3 linked regions of the Drosophila melanogaster genome follow. The protein of the gene in region 1 purifies or fractionates together with the protein of each later gene. This does not show direct contact. Each region holds a gene or a part of one and is shown in the gene's direction. Other genes may lie near its edges.

What was found.
Region 2: the proteins of Rac2 (region 1) and Pak3 purify together in Drosophila melanogaster (affinity purification with western blotting, with the first as the bait; one study listed by BioGRID). This does not show direct contact.
Region 3: the proteins of Rac2 (region 1) and PlexB purify together in Drosophila melanogaster (affinity purification with western blotting, with the first as the bait; one study listed by BioGRID). This does not show direct contact.

The regions. Positions count from the first base shown.
Region 1 is NT_037436.4:7,432,237-7,436,931, reverse strand, and holds Rac2 (Rac2), read left to right. Parts: upstream 1-1,741; 5' UTR 1,742-2,421; coding exon 2,422-3,000; 3' UTR 3,001-4,170; downstream 4,171-4,695. Other genes in the region: CG14835 (uncharacterized protein), read left to right, coding at 1-58. UniProt on the Drosophila melanogaster protein: Involved in integrin alpha-PS3/beta-nu-mediated phagocytosis of Gram-positive S.aureus by hemocytes.
Region 2 is NT_033777.3:16,449,166-16,455,778, reverse strand, and holds the start of Pak3 (Pak3), read left to right. Parts: upstream 1-1,957; 5' UTR 1,958-2,868; coding exon 2,869-4,578; coding exon of another isoform or gene 4,579-4,620; 3' UTR 4,621-4,812; intron 4,813-6,613. Other genes in the region: CG10405 (uncharacterized protein), read right to left, coding at 29-180, 254-294, 599-1,212.
Region 3 is NC_004353.4:40,647-45,497, reverse strand, and holds the start of PlexB (plexin B), read left to right. Parts: upstream 1-1,719; 5' UTR 1,720-2,073; coding exon 2,074-2,584; exon of another isoform or gene 2,585-2,724; intron 2,725-4,212; coding exon 4,213-4,851.

The DNA.
Region 1 (4,695 bases):
AAGTACCAGGTGTACCAGGTATACATCCCAATTTCACTGGGAAAACCCGCCTCTTTAAAAACCTTGATGAACCCTTTTGACCACCGGATATGCTAGCAATGGAAAATATAGGTACACTGCAATCAAATGTTTTTTTTTTCTGGGAGCTTAAAGGCTCATTTGGGTTTCAAAATGTTATGGTTTAAGTAAATAACTTTGCTGAAAGGTAATTTGATAACTGCATTATTTGTTGCGCTTATCGCTTTTCAACTTAATTTAACACCATTGTTTTAGCCAAAAGCTTTCGATTGGTTAATCTATTAAATTACGCTGTAATTTGAAAATTAATTCGAAAAAGTGTTGTTTTTGTTTCACGCCCTGACCCGCTGATAACCTTGCGACGCCCACCCGCCCACTTGAAATCGAATACGAAATCGAATGATTCATCCACGCACAAACGGAAACAGAAACATTTATTCCACTTGAACGGACTTCATTGGCGATTTAATTGTTGCGGATTTTTTACAGTAAATTCCATTAAAAACTTTTTGAAAATGCATATTATTGAAATTCATATATTCGTGCTTGTTGTTCGGATTGCTGGAGAACAAATTTTGTGGCGCCTATTTAATTATCCAATTACAGCAGCACCATCAGCAGTGCGAGAAATTAACTTAAATGCGAAAATATTCGCCGACGGCACTTTAAACATTTCCATTTTAAAATCAATGCGAAAATGGGCGTGGCATGTGGAGGACGGGGGGGGGGGATGTTTTGGGCTTCTGGTTGGTGGGGCGGAAGCCAAAACACAAACACGAAATATTTCGGCTATCACTTTTGGCTGAATGCGGATGCGGCGGATTCGGTGGATTCGGTTTGGGTTCTGTTTTTGCTTTTCGGTTTTTACTGTCGATATTTTGCACTGTTTGCCAATGTTATTTGTTTGTTATTCCTTGGGCTTTGGTTTTTGCCGACACACGCAATTTTGTGGTCCATTAAAACAGTCAACGGCAGCAAATATCGCTGGTCATGAAAAATTTAATAATTCGTTTAAGAATTAGATGGGATGTAACGGTCGTAAATTAATATGGCCCGAATTAAGGAGAATTAAAAGTAATTCCAGAATCTAAATTTGAGTTTCCAATTTTAAAATATGAATACTTCCATTTAAGTATATTCATCCAAAGACTGTGACACATATTTAGGTCACATAATTGATTCATCAATAAAAAAAATATTGTTCAATTAATATTTATATCGCGCGATATCAACGTTTTGCTTGTTTTTGGTGTGGCACTGTAATTGTACCGCGATAAGCTACGGGCGATTTGTACCTGAGTTGGGTACCGCACATCTCTGATAGCCTCTAGTCGCGTGGAAATTGGCTCAAAACAACAGCAACGGTCGGGAAATTCGTGGAAAACCGTCGAACGAATATAGAAAACTCTACAAAAACGACCAAAGCAAGGTCAAGTAAAGAGACTCACTATCTCTGTCTCGCTCTGCTCTCTGTGGATTGCCACGACTAACGTCACCGAGCGAATGACTCACTGTGACTAATTTTATGGGACTGCACTGTGCCAGTGCCGCTCTCGCTCACGTTCGCTCGCTCGCTCTTTGTGTGGGAGAGCGTATGCGCGCAGCGCTTCGTTTAAGCGACTAACGCACGCGAACGAGCGAGACAGCCGTACAAGCCAGTTGAAAGAGCGAAAACTACAGTGAAAAAACAAGTACAACAACTGCCAGCGGAGGCAGAAATTTTCTTCAATCGCCGCGAAGATTTCACAGCGTTTGGGCGTGTTTTTTCCGTTTCTGCCACAGAAAATCAGCAAATCCCCACATATGCGGGCCCAATTAATTCATAAATAATATACCGACCGAACAGAAAGAACGCCGTCACGGTTCTGCTTTCAATTAAGAATATTGATTTGACAACTTTCGCGATAAATCAAACTCCACTTCAAATTCGCATCTCTCTCTGTACGCGATTGCTTGAATGTGTGTGTGTGTGTGGGCAGAATTTGTATTAGTGCGTGAGCAAATTATTGTATAATCGCCAAAAAAAAAAAACAATAAAAGCAAAACGCCAACGCGAAAAGCAAAAGCTATACAATTAGAAAAACTAGCTGAGCTGCGATACAAGGCAAAACTAAATTGTGTGACTAAAATTTGTCTGTTGAACAGAAAAAAGAAAAGTACAAAATAGTTCAAAAGTACAAATATCGAAGCATTCAAAAACTGTCTGACCTACTGAATTGAATGAATTACCCCAAAGTAATTATAAGTTAAGCTGCCACAAAGAAAACCAGTTGAGCCACTGGAAATCGAGCACGAAACCAGCTGATCCACTGAAAAACCCTCTGCCCCCAGCGCACAAGCAACCCATCGAGCTGCTGAACCCATCGATTGCCCAGTAGTACCACCAGTACAGTAGCCTTCATCATGCAGGCCATCAAGTGTGTGGTTGTGGGCGACGGAGCGGTGGGAAAGACCTGTCTGCTGATCAGCTATACGACCAACGCCTTCCCCGGCGAGTACATACCCACGGTGTTCGACAACTATTCGGCGAATGTGATGGTGGATGCCAAGCCCATCAATCTGGGCCTCTGGGATACGGCTGGACAGGAGGACTACGATCGCCTGAGGCCGCTATCCTATCCGCAAACGGATGTCTTTCTCATCTGTTTCTCACTGGTGAATCCGGCATCGTTTGAGAATGTGCGAGCCAAATGGTTTCCCGAGGTGCGTCATCATTGCCCGAGTGTGCCGATAATCCTGGTCGGCACCAAACTGGATCTGCGCGACGATAAGCAGACGATCGAGAAGCTGAAGGACAAGAAGCTAACACCGATCACCTATCCCCAAGGACTGGCGATGGCCAAGGAAATAGCTGCGGTCAAGTATCTGGAGTGCTCGGCCCTGACCCAAAAGGGTCTGAAGACGGTCTTCGACGAGGCCATACGATCCGTGCTATGTCCTGTCGTTCGAGGACCCAAGCGGCACAAGTGCGCCCTGCTCTAAGAACTTTGAACCCACCCAAAACAAAAACGCGAAGAACTTCAACAAAAACAAAAAAAAAAACGAGAAGAGAAGAGAACAAAGCGCAAAATTCTGTGCAAAATATTCATATTCGCTTTGTTGGGTCTTTAGTTACAGCAGATAGTGTGTGAGTGTGTGTATTGTGTGTGTGTGTGATGTGAGTGCAAGTGTGAGCGCGTCTCTGGGTTGCGAGTGTGACGGCATGAGTGTGTGAATGAGTGAGCGTAGTTTTGTTTTTATTGTCAGCTTTATGTGGGGGAGCAGCAGCCACAAAAACAACAACACAGCTATCAGCAAGGGGGCTACACAGGGTGGGGGCGGGGCCAGGGGTCTCTGGGGGGCAGATCACGGATAGAAAGATATACACATAAGCATATAAGTATGATATTGTGCGTACACAGTAAAATAAATGTGGAAGAACTTCTAAAACTTGAGATATTTGATGTAATATTGCTCAAATTAATTTCTATATTGCTCTAGATAACATGTTTAAATTTTTCTGTTCTGAGTTATTGTTTCGTAGTATTTTTAATGACTAACTTGTTTTAGAATTTAGATTAAGTACAACTCATACTTTTGCGCTTATGACATACAAGAATTAACATTTTAAAAATGATTTCGACTAATTAAAAAAACATTTTTTATATAATGTTAATTGCAAAAAAAGAAATTTTGATTTTCGCAAATAGTAATCCATAAATTGCCTTAAAACGCAAGTGCATTATATTAAACAGCAGAAATTAGAACTTTGCAAATGAAATTCGGCCTGAGAAACGTATGACAAATCAAATAAAATTAATTGTAAATAAATCTAGACGATTTATAGCCTTTAGCGCCCCAAACGCAGTCACTATAACCAGTACCAGATAGCCGTTATCTGGGTGTGGAAGAAAAACCCCAGGAAAGGCCCCGCCTATGGCCAATATCTGAACAATCGGGGAATGTGGGAAGCCGACAAAAAAAGAACTTTCATTTATACATATAGTATTTAGAGTTACGTGTGAATGTGTGTGTGTGTGTCTGATCAATGGTCTTCCCGCTCAACGCATTTGCCTGGACTTGATTTAATGTATACTAAATGCACAATTAGCCTCTACTTTGATGTTAATTTATATACTGATATTTATGTTAAATAAATGCATACATTTTGCCAATTTGTTTTAACGAAAGAGAGCGAGCGGTAAATTAAAAAAAAAGGAAACACTTTATTTATATTAACACATAATTTATCAATAAAGAGTGTAATATTAATCAACCAAAATAAACGTTTGTACAAAACTAAATAGTCGGATGAATTATGTTGGGAGCAAAGTGCAATTCAGATTTATGTCTATTATGGAAGTAATGTGGGTATATTTAAAGGTTTTCATAGTTGGCAATGCAATGGTGCTTGACCCCTGAACTGCTGCATACTTTTCGGCTAGTGGGGAAAATTGCACACGCCTGGCAACTTTAATCTTATCTGCACCCGCATTTGTCACAAATTTTAGATAATTATTTCCGATTGCCGGACACGCCGGAAGTTCTGATCCCCGGACCGGTTGACTAAGCAATTTGCCAGTTTCAGTCCTATCATACATACATACATACATATGCCTATATACTATAATGGCTACATCATATTTATTTATGTCTTTATGCTCCGCTTTCTTTCAATTCTATCTATATCTATAGAAT
Region 2 (6,613 bases), on another chromosome or scaffold:
TATAAGTTCCATTTAATCCGCTGAAAATCTACAACTTTGTGAGCAGGCGTATCCAACGGCGTATAGTAGGATGGGCCAGGCGGGTGTAAACTCCTGGATAGTACGGATCCGCGCAGCCAACTCCCCAGGATACGATTCCGATAAGGGTTCCCTGTGCGCTGATCGGACCTCCACTGTCGCCTGAAAAATGATGAGGTTCACGGTGTCATTATCAACATGTCGATTAAACGTAATTGTAATTATCTGGGCTCACCTTGACATGCGTCTGTGTTTCTGGCGGCCGCGCAGAACATTCTGAAAGATAATATAAATTGGGAATTAATTGGCTTTGTCTTACCAATAAACACTTGAGAACAATAAATAGAGATGTATCTCAAGTACCAACTCCCTTTTGAAAATTTTTAAATTGTGCTCAAGCAGTGAGTGACTTCGTGAGTTTTTTGGGGCTTCTGTCTTCTAGAATTAGAAGTATTTTTGGAAAGGCAGAGTTGTGTATAGAGATAAACTCTTAATTTGTTCAATCTACATGGCATAATATGTAGGGAATAGTCTCTTGGGTAAACAGAACTTAAAAAAGTAGTATGATTCCCCTGCTTACGCTTCGGTGACGCCTCCGTGATGGCGTAGATCGTTGTGGCACTTCTCTTGGTTGACTGTCAGTACCGTAGTGCTTTTGAGTACCGACGACAGGACGGGATTGGAGGTGCTCATGTGTCCCCAGCCGGAGACGACGGCGGGCATGCTTTCCGAGATGGCCTCGCCAACGGTGGGCAATCGAATGGGCGCCACTTTGCCCAACGGCAGGCTGAGTGCTCCGTCCGCTGTTCGTAGAAGGGCCACGTCGAAGTTCATGTCCGCCCGATCGTAGGCCGGATGCTTGTAGATGGCTTTCACCGGCTGAACAGTGCCGCCCGAGGTACGCATGATGCTGCCCTGGCGGAGTGTGAATTCCCGCGGCTGCTGCTCATGCCCGTCGATGCAATGAGCGGCCGTAATGGCCCAGTTGCTGGAGAGAATCGAGGCGCCGCAGATGTGTACCGTTTGGCGGCGCAGCGAGAGTTGGTATGGAAACTGGCCTTCGGTGGCTTCGCGTCCGTTCACAATCCGACTGTCCGGCTGCCGAGGGACGGCAGCCTCTGTGCGGGATGCTTCCAGGATCACAAGGATCCCAGCTATGAGAAGAAACGGAATTGGAGCTCGGCACTTTTGCATGACGCTGCGAACGAGTGGAAACTAACCAGCATTGGGAATCCGTAAGTCGATATATTCAATGGCGCTTTATCAATCACGGACGTTATCTAGTGGGGTACACGATTTCTGAAGAAGCTGCTCCGTTGCCCGTAATTAGCCATTGTCGCTTGGGTTTTTTTGTTGCCTATCTGCCAGATTCTCTGATTTTATTACTGTTTACAGCGGTGACGATGGCAATGAACTTCCGCAAGAGCATCGGGGAAATGCAGAAATGGTTAAACCATTTTGATAAAAAAAGGTAGTTTTTATCTTTTTAAAAAATCGATTCTTATGGGAAGATCAGAAGATATATATATATAGATATCACAAGATCACAAGATATGAGGTTTAAAATACCCAAATATAAATGAATGTAAGATGGATGTTTAAATGTTCTTTTATTTAACTGAGTTCTATTAATTACCGGATTCGGATTTTTGAAGAATTGGAAACCTATATATACTAAAACTAGTTGAGGGTCTATAAATACTTAAAATTATAAGAAACTTTTGTTAGTCAATACTAAAAGGCATTTATCCAGTAGCATGGCCGTTTAGAATAATATTTATATTATTTTATAAAAAATTATTTGTAATATTTTTAAAGTGTTCCGACTCAAAATTGTTGGAAAAAATACTGAACCACTTGACCAGCATCGATAGTCCTATAAAAGTGTCGATGTTTCGATAAAAGGCCACACAGTGGAATACTCGCCCAACTTAGCTGCGGTCACACTTAGTCTGCAATTTTCAAGAATTACACACGCGCGGATGTTTTTCGGTTCATCCTAAGAAACATAAAATTGCAACGCAAAGAGCAGCTTAAAATCGCGAATTAACCTTTAGGCTTAATAGTAAAAATAAAGAGTGTACATCGTACACAATTCGCATTTGTCGGCACAATTGGTGCGAGTGCGACAACAATAGCAGGCCGAGTGCAGCAGTGCGATTGCAGCAAAGCGAAGGGAAAAACCAAAGAAGTTATTAATTTCGGAGTGTTGCTCTGAAAGCGGCTTAGATATACCCAAATCAACAATATACTTCCGTATAGTTATGGAAGCCTGGAAGGGCTAACAAAAAACTATACGGGAAGGCAGTTTTCGGCCCGCGTAAGAACAGCAACAACAACAGACACTGGAAGAACAAGACTGCGACGGCCACTCCTTTTGTGTCCGACTTCGAGATGTGTGCGTGTTCGTGTCCGCGTCCGCCTTTGTGTGTTGAGCAATTGAAAACTGGTGATTGCTGAATAAATTAAGGTAGCTAAATTAATAATTAGCAAAGCGAGTGGGGCCAATAAAAAGTGAAAATCTTCTGCGTTTTCGTAAAGCGAAAGAAACTACAGCTACAGTTAGAGATAAGAAGAGCTCTCGCACACATACACAAAGCGCAGGCCGAACGAGCGAGTGTGCGTGCTTGTGCATGTGTTTATGACTCACGGCTGGTTCAGTGAGAGAGAGAAAGAGAGCGAGAGTGGTGGCTTGAGTAACAGTAACATTAACAATACCGAACGCGAAACAACAACAAATCTGCCGAGCGTTTAGAATTTCCCAAGTCGAGCGTTACTAAACGCATTGAAGAAAATCCCCCCCACCCACACACACTCTTATACAATAAAGAGAGAGAAAGCCGCTGGAAAATGAGCTTCACCAAGTGGTTCAAGAAGAAGGGCGGAGATGGGGGATCGATCTCAGAGATCGGTGCACCCACAAACTTCCAACGGCACTTCCATGTCTCGCGCAACCAGGAAACCGGCGACCTGGAGGGGCTTCCAGCTCCATGGGTGCGCCTAATGAACTCACAGATCACTCGCGATGAGCAGGACAAGAATCCAGATGCTGCCTACCATGCCGTTAAGTACTACAACTATTCGATTAAGAAGAAAGAGAACGAGGTCTTCAAGCCCTTCATCACCGAAGATGTGATCCACGAGGAGTCCAAGGAGATAGAAAACTATGTCAACTACAAAAACAAGCACAAGTCTCAGGATCCCGAAAAGTCCGACGACGATGGCAGTTCGACGGCCACGGAGACGGAAAGTAGCAGCGGTTGTGGCTCCTCGGCAGGTAATAGTAACAGCAGCAGCATCAACGACAGCAGCCAGCAGTCGACGGTGCCGCTGGACGCCCTAGAGGAGGTGTTCAAGGAGCTCAAGACCAATCTGGAGCACCGCGAAACGCTGAAGGCCGCACCGCAAGAGCCTCCACCAGTACCGCCCAAGAAATCGCCCCACACCATACCGCCCAAACCGCAAATCAAGCCCAAACCTCGTGTCACACAGAAGTTCTCACGCACTTCGGATATACGTCGAGATGAGGACTCCGACAACCAGCACAAGATCAACACAGACACAATCATCATCAAGCCAGCCGTAGGGGCCCAGGATGCTGGAGCGGATGATAATCCCGACGAGACGATACTGCGCCGCTCCAAGGAGAAGAGGGCCCAGAAAACCGATGCCGAAATCTACGTTGAGCTGCGGGCAATTTGCAATTCAGATGACCCAAGGGAACGCTACAAGACCACCCAGGAGGTGGGCAAGGGAGCTTCTGGCATAGTTTTCATAGCCGCCGATTTGCAGAACGAATCGCAGGTGGCCGTCAAGACCATCGATATGAAGAACCAGTCCTCGAAGGATCTCATACTCACAGAAATCCGAGTGCTCAAGGACTTCAACCACAAGAATCTGGTAAACTTTCTGGATGCCTACCTTCTGGAGCCCGAGGACCAACTGTGGGTAGTCATGGAGTACATGGATGGCGGCCCATTGACTGACGTCGTTACCGAGACTGTGATGAAGGAGCGCCAGATTGCCTGCGTCTGCCGCGAGACACTCTACGCTATTAGTTTTCTGCACGCTAAGGGCATTATCCACCGGGACATCAAGTCAGACAACGTGCTGCTGGGCATGGATGGCAGTGTTAAGGTGACGGACTTTGGGTTCTGCGCCAACATCGAGGGCGATGAGAAGCGCCAGACAATGGTGGGAACGCCGTACTGGATGGCGCCCGAAGTGGTCACGCGCAAGAAGTACGGCAAGAAGGTGGACATCTGGTCTATCGGCATCATGGCCATCGAGATGATCGAAGGCCAGCCACCCTACCTATACGAGACTCCACTCCGCGCCCTCTACCTGATCGCCGCCAACGGTCGGCCGGATATCAAGAGCTGGGATAAGCTGAGTCCCAACCTTCAAGACTTTCTCGATCGCTGTCTCCAGGTGGAGGTGGACCGAAGGGCCACCGCCGACGAGTTGCTCAGCCATCCGTTCCTCAACGACTGCAGCGAGGTCAAGGCCCTCGTGCCCAACATCAAGGCGGCCAAGAAGGTGCTCCGACGCAACGTATAGTTGCTATGCAATCACCGGACGGCCAGGCTGCTCTACGCGTGATCGGAAGCGGAATCGGGTTCGGGTTCGGGATCTGCCCCGTGTGTATAATGAGTTTTCAATGTAAATTTGTTTTGTGTGGACGAAACCGGAACTGGAACTGGAATAGAATGCTGACCGTAGTCTTTGTAGTATGTACAACCGTAGAAATGGCGAAAGCAGGACTAGGACCCGGCAACTCCCCTTCGAAAACAGGTAAGTCCCAGGTAGCCCATTTGGCCAAGCTCATTATTCAAGCGAAACGATATCCATTTCAACGGAAACCTTTTCGCAATCGCACATGTGGAAACAGAGGCTGTCGGTTTATTGTCCGATGGGTTAGTTTCTCTTTGCTGTCTAAATTTTGTCAAAGACCTAGACCCAAAACAGCGATAGTTGCCTATCTTGGGACTTTTAATCAGTAACTCACTTCGGTTCGAACAACAGATTAAATTCGATCAAGGTTGCGAAGTGCACGAGGCTTTTGTCTCTGATTAATTTTATTTCTTGTATACCTGGGAAAGGGAATCTTTAACGCGGTCAATTGCTTGCAACGCCCTATAGAGCAAATATGTTATGGTGCCAAGACAGCTTAATATGATTTAGAAAGTCATCCATCAGAGAAATGGACTGGGACCAGTGGGGTTGGATTTAATCCAAAAATGATTCACTTCTACAAACAGTTATACTTAAAACTCATGTTTTATTCAACAAATATTTAATTTTCTTCGTTTCATATGATTCAAACATGATTTGAAAAAACCAGATGATGATAACTTAATGCGTTATTATAAAAGACACATTTTTTAGTTTTCTGGTATAGCAAAAATATTATTATTTCCTGAATTAAAAAAATTCTTTGCCATTTCCATGAACATCTCTCCGTAATAATGAAGTTTGGGATTTTCCTACATGAGAGCACACACCGTTACTTGGCTAGCGCTGCAATTGTTTATGTCTCATTCGTTTGGACACCTATTACGTATAGGGTTTTTGCACAAACCATTCCATTGAAAACCGACAATGGACAAAAAAGCAAGTAAAAGAAAGAAGCCGCTCCGGCAGTAACAACAAACAACAACTGAGTACGCAATTTAACACGCTCGTTCGCATTTCCTGTTTGGAATATCGCTTTGTCTGGCCAAAAAATATTCATACATCATAATAAAGAAAACTTTAATTCAGGCACACAGACAGCGAAAACACCTACGCGCAGCGAAATGCATTTGTATTGGCCTTATCAGGCGCGTACAACATGCTGTATAAGTGCTATTGTAATTCCCCCAGCTGTAGAGAAACCGGAGGGGAATTTATCAAATTCTTAGAACAATTTTCGTCCATTTCCAATGTGATAAGCAAAGCTAAAAAATAGATCGTGAAAGTTCTACGAGAGAGTGCGAGAAAGAGAGTGCTAGAGAGGGGGTGGCGAGAGAGCGAAAGTGGAGTCAAAGTCAAACTGAGTGTGTGTAACACAAAGAATGAGAGTGTGTATAATTGATTCTGATGGCGGTTCTTCGGCCTCTTCCTCTCTCTCTCACTCTTCTTTAGTTCTTCTGCATCTTTGGTCGCCCTCCCACTTACTCAACTTAATTGCTTCTGTGGCAGGAGCAAACGAGAGGGGGGATGGCGACGTCGCGACTCGGCTGCGCTATTTTTACTCTCTCCCACTCCCACTTTGGCTTGCATCTTCCCCTGCATTGTGATGCACTGGCTCTGCATTTTCCAGGGGCGGATCTGGAGGCTAGTTTTTCAGTAGGTTTAAATATTTTAATGTGGTGACAACTGAGAGTATAATTAAAAGATACTTTCAGAAGCTAAGTTTAATTACCAAAACATTAGGGGAATATTCCTTGCAAACCACAACTAGATCCGCCCCTGGTTTCTTCTCCAACTTCTACCGGATCTCTAGGCTCTCTATTTGTTTATATTACTGGCGCATACTTTTGCTTTCCGTTTTGCGGGAGAGTGAGGGAGAGATAGCGATGGTTCTTCTCACTTGCGGATATTGAAATCTTTA
Region 3 (4,851 bases), on another chromosome or scaffold:
TTTGTTCTTAGCTGGGAATAACACTATTATAATAATAATATTATACTTATATAATTCCTAATAATTTGCTCCAAGCATACATTTTTTTTTTTGTAAAAAGAAAATTAAAATTAATAAAAAGTAAGTAAGTAAGAGCTGCGTATCATTGTGCCGTTTGATATTCCAAATTCCTAATAAATTATTCTCTTATTGAGTTGAAAAATATCCATGTTTGTCATTATATGTGTTGTAAAGATTATAGACAGTTTAAGTGTACACATTAACCTCTTTGGTCAATCTAATCTAACTTTTTGGTAAGAGATGGTTTATCTCTTTAGCATCTCTTATCGCAGCATTTTCTGCGGCAGGTCTGGTTATGTTTCGAGTGTTCACGTCGGCTGTTAACGGATTTTTGATACATTGTTGTTATGTGTAAACAGTTCTATTTATGTACTTGTACATGTTGCACAGCGCAAATATTGTCGATTAACCATGGTTTCCCGTGCTAAGTTTCGATGTGATGCCAACCAAGTATAAACTAAAGATCCTGTGTTATACCAAAACGAATTCGGCGTTGTCAAGATCGATGTTCCCGATTGCTCTTCAGTTCACAAAGAATTTTCACAGTAAATAATGTGATAGCAGCATAAGTTTCATTAACTATCGCTTTGAAATATAGTCGGTTAACCGAAGTACACCCTTGCAAAGTGACTACACAAATGGATTGATGAAGCATTTTTATAGGGGTCAATATCCAATGCTAAGTGTTGAAAAAAATCCACAAATAAAACTTCAATATCTGTAGTGGTTCCCTAATTTAACTTATATATTCGGAGAATAAATGAAATTGTATATACATATGTACGTATGACAGGATCAGAAATCTCTCTGAGAATATATAAAAATCGAATCTTCAATTCAGTCAAAATTTAAAACCCACCGATATAATCTATTTAGTGATACTTATTTAACTAAGTGTTAATAATTTACAGGTCTTAATGACGGTTGGTCTTAATTTACAGTTGTAGAGAAATTCAATAAATTATTAATAAGACAATTGATTAGCAAAATAGCCATTCGTTGGACAAATTTTCCAAAAATTGTTGAATAATAATAATCAAATTTTTTAAATTTATATAATTTTAATAGTAAAAAAGGTACATAAGTAAAATTAGTATAAGTATATACATAAATAGTCCCAAACACTACGTGGCGTTGAAGCCTCCATGCCATGAGAAACCCTTAATGAAATAATTTAACATTAAACATGTTATGATTTTAAAATAATTTTATAAAATTTTAGCCATCGTGCCACATAAATCAATGTTGTTCAAAACTTTGTGTAGAGATAGGTGGGTCTGTAACACTCGAATCAAAAACAATATTAAGATAAAAATAGCGCGCACGGCAAGTGTTGCATGGAAGAAGATGAGATCAATTTAGATTCTTTGGAGATTGCTCTTTTTAACGCGACTACCATTTCATTGATATTATTTTACAAAAATGTTCCTGGAACATTTTAGACTCCATCGGTGGTGTCTTCTTTCTTTTTTCTTTTAACATTAGCCAATTGATTGGATGTGGAATCAGAACTGAAAACATTTAAACGATATCTACATAAATACTTCCGAGGTTTTTAATGGTAAGCTTCCCTTTAATGTGCTCCTTGTGAATACAGCATTACAATGCCCTCTAGCTCGATAGTTCAATTTGTATGCGATAGGCTGATACAGCCGATACTAATAATCTGCTCTAGGACTGATAGTGTACACACAACGTTTGAGCGTTGCCTAAGAAGTTTTTTTTAAATAAATATTTGTTTACATTGACTAATCGATTTTTTGTGTTAAACAACCTTATAAAAAATGCGCTAAACCTAAAATAGCCAAATGGATCATTTTAATTTAAAAATATTTATGCACCTACAGTGAATCAGCGGCATATAAAATTAATTCGCATTAAATTCAATCGATATTAAAAAGTTTATATATTAAGGAGAGAGAATGTAGAGCTAAATAATAATAAAAATGACATATGGGGAATTGATGCCCAAACTCAACTACAAACTGATCATACACAAAACCACAAATAAATATGTTGCGAAAGGAATTGTATTGTGCAAACATTATACATGTTTTACATGTACTGTGTATTATTATCATACTCGGTTCTCAGCATTATTGCGTTAACTGCATTGAAGAACTGCCGGCTCAGGCGTTATCTCCCTTAAATGACATAGTCGCCCAGTTTAACTTGCCATCAATACCAGTTCAATCAACAGCTTCCAGCTATGGCAATCGATCAATTGGAAACAATATAGAAAGTGTTAGAGACTCTCAATCTAAAAATTATTTTACTCACATGAGCTTCGACTTTATGCACAATGTTTTGTTTGCGGGTGCTACAAATAAAATACTTAAACTTAACGAAAACCTTCGAGTGCTGGCCGAGGCTGTTACTGGGCCGTTACATGATTCCCCGCAATGTCACGCTGGAGGCTGTCCGGAAGATATTGAGACATCGCTTGTCAATAACTTCAACAAAATTCTAGTAGTAAGCTACGCTCACGATGGTATTCTCATAGCGTGTGGAAGCATTCGACAAGGTAAAATAGCAAACACATATCAAAATAAAAATAAAATACTTAAGTCGGCGACTTCGTATGGGACCGAAACTCCTGACATATCGTATTGGTTTATAGAAGTTATTGGTCATTTTTTGTAGTCATCGTAGAACAATGTCGCAGTGTTTTTGAGCTCCACATAAAAAAGCGGCGAATATAAGTAATTATTCAAAAGTGCGGAAGGAATATGATGATAAACAAAACAGGATTTTAAAATGTTATAAATTAAAAAATCTATAGTTGAACTCTTGAAACAATTTGGGTAGTATTAACGTTAAAGTATTAAAATAAAACAAGATAATATGCTATAGTCAAGATCTCCGATACTCAGCTAGTGTGAATGCGAACTCGAAATCGAAATTTCATCATTTTTCTGGGATATCGATAGATATTGGGGAATAAAAGAAGAAACAATTTGAAAAATGTTCAATAGTGTGGGCGTGACCGGTTTGGCGGCTTTAGGGAGTTAGAGTAGGCGTGGCAAAAAGTTTAAGCAACTAATAAAATTAAAAAAAATATTCTAAAATGTTTGCAAAAATATGGGCGGGCAGTTTTGGGCATAATATTACTTCAATCATGCGATGCGAATCGTCTTTAAAATACTTTTCAACGAATCAGTTAACAATTTTTACTGTTCCTGAAATCAATTCTGATCGAATAAACGAATTTACATATTTGGTAAGTTTTGGCCAATTTCGTAGCAATATGATGAAATTGCGCTCTTTTTTAGGAATATCAAATTGGAATATAACAAAAAAAAAACTGAAACTAAACAACTGAATCTAATGTGCATTTTAAATAATAAAAATGGATCATTTTATACATCATATTAAAATTAAAAAAATTTCATAAAAATAATACGTAGTAGAAAATAAAAATTTTTAACATAAATAAAAATATGAAAACTGTTTATTGCAAGTCATATGTATCTTGAGGCACGAAGTGCGGACACAAGCACTCAACAATCATTGCCTTATTAATTTTTCACACGTCGAAAGCTGAATACTCTAATGAATATAATAATATTATAAAGTCATTTTTGAAATTTTTTTTTGTGATAATATGTACATAGGTTTGACTCTTTCTAATCTATTTTCAAATAATAATAACGTTAAGGCAATGCAAAACAAGAATTTTTCGCATGGTGCCAATTGATCAAAAATAATATAGATTTAAAGTCTATGAACTTCTAAGGTGAAGGGCATATATTGTCAAATTTACAATGCATGAGCACACGTGTGCACACACACAGATGTCTGGTATCACTGTATGCGTAGAAAAGAGCTGTTCGTTGTAGCGCTCTCCGCTCTCTCGCTCTCGAACAAAAATTCGAGAGAGCCTGGAGCAACCTCTAGAGCCACGGCGAGAAAATCGTGGGCTAAGGACAGGCAGACGGACATGAGTAGATCGACTCGGTTAGTGATCAAGATCAGGATTTTTGATATTTTATAGGCTCGGTGACGTTCCGTTCTACATGTAGTATACATTTTTACTTTACAAGTTACGGGTATATCAAGTCCAATGGATACTATGACTTAGGTGTTATATTTTGTCCTTAAAATAGGTTTTAAAAAATTCCGCGATAGTAATAAAATTATCTTTATTTTCAGGAGCCTGCGAAATTTACAGCCTGCCACGTTTTCCGGCAACGCCCCAGTTTTTTGCAGTTCCATTGGCTGCTAACGATGAAAACGCGTCTACATATGCATTTGTAGGTCCGGCGAGATATGCGTGGAAAGAAGAGGATATTTTATATGTGGGGACAACATTTACGAATGTTGGTGATTATCGTCATGACGTGCCAGCCATTTCGTCCCGCCGACTTGATGATTTAAACTATGCTGAATTTTCAATACAGCAGTCAATTATAAATATCGATGTAAAATATCGGGATCATTTTCTAGTCGATTATATTTACGGCTTTAATTCTTCTGAATATGCGTACTTCATAATTGTTCAAAAAAAATCACATTTAGCTGATGAGGCCGGTTATGTAACACGCTTGGCACGCATTTGCATTACAGATCCTAATTACGACAGCTATACTGAAATAACTGTTCAATGCACTGCAACTGAAAACAATGTTGACTACAATATTGTAAGGGATGCGAAAGTAACTCCAGCCAGCCACAAATTGGCGCAAAAAATGGGCATAAAAAAAGACGATCACGTTTTAGTAACGGTTTTTTCGCCCTCAAGAGAAATAAGTAATCAGCCAGAAAGTAAGTCTGCTATGTGTATATATAGCA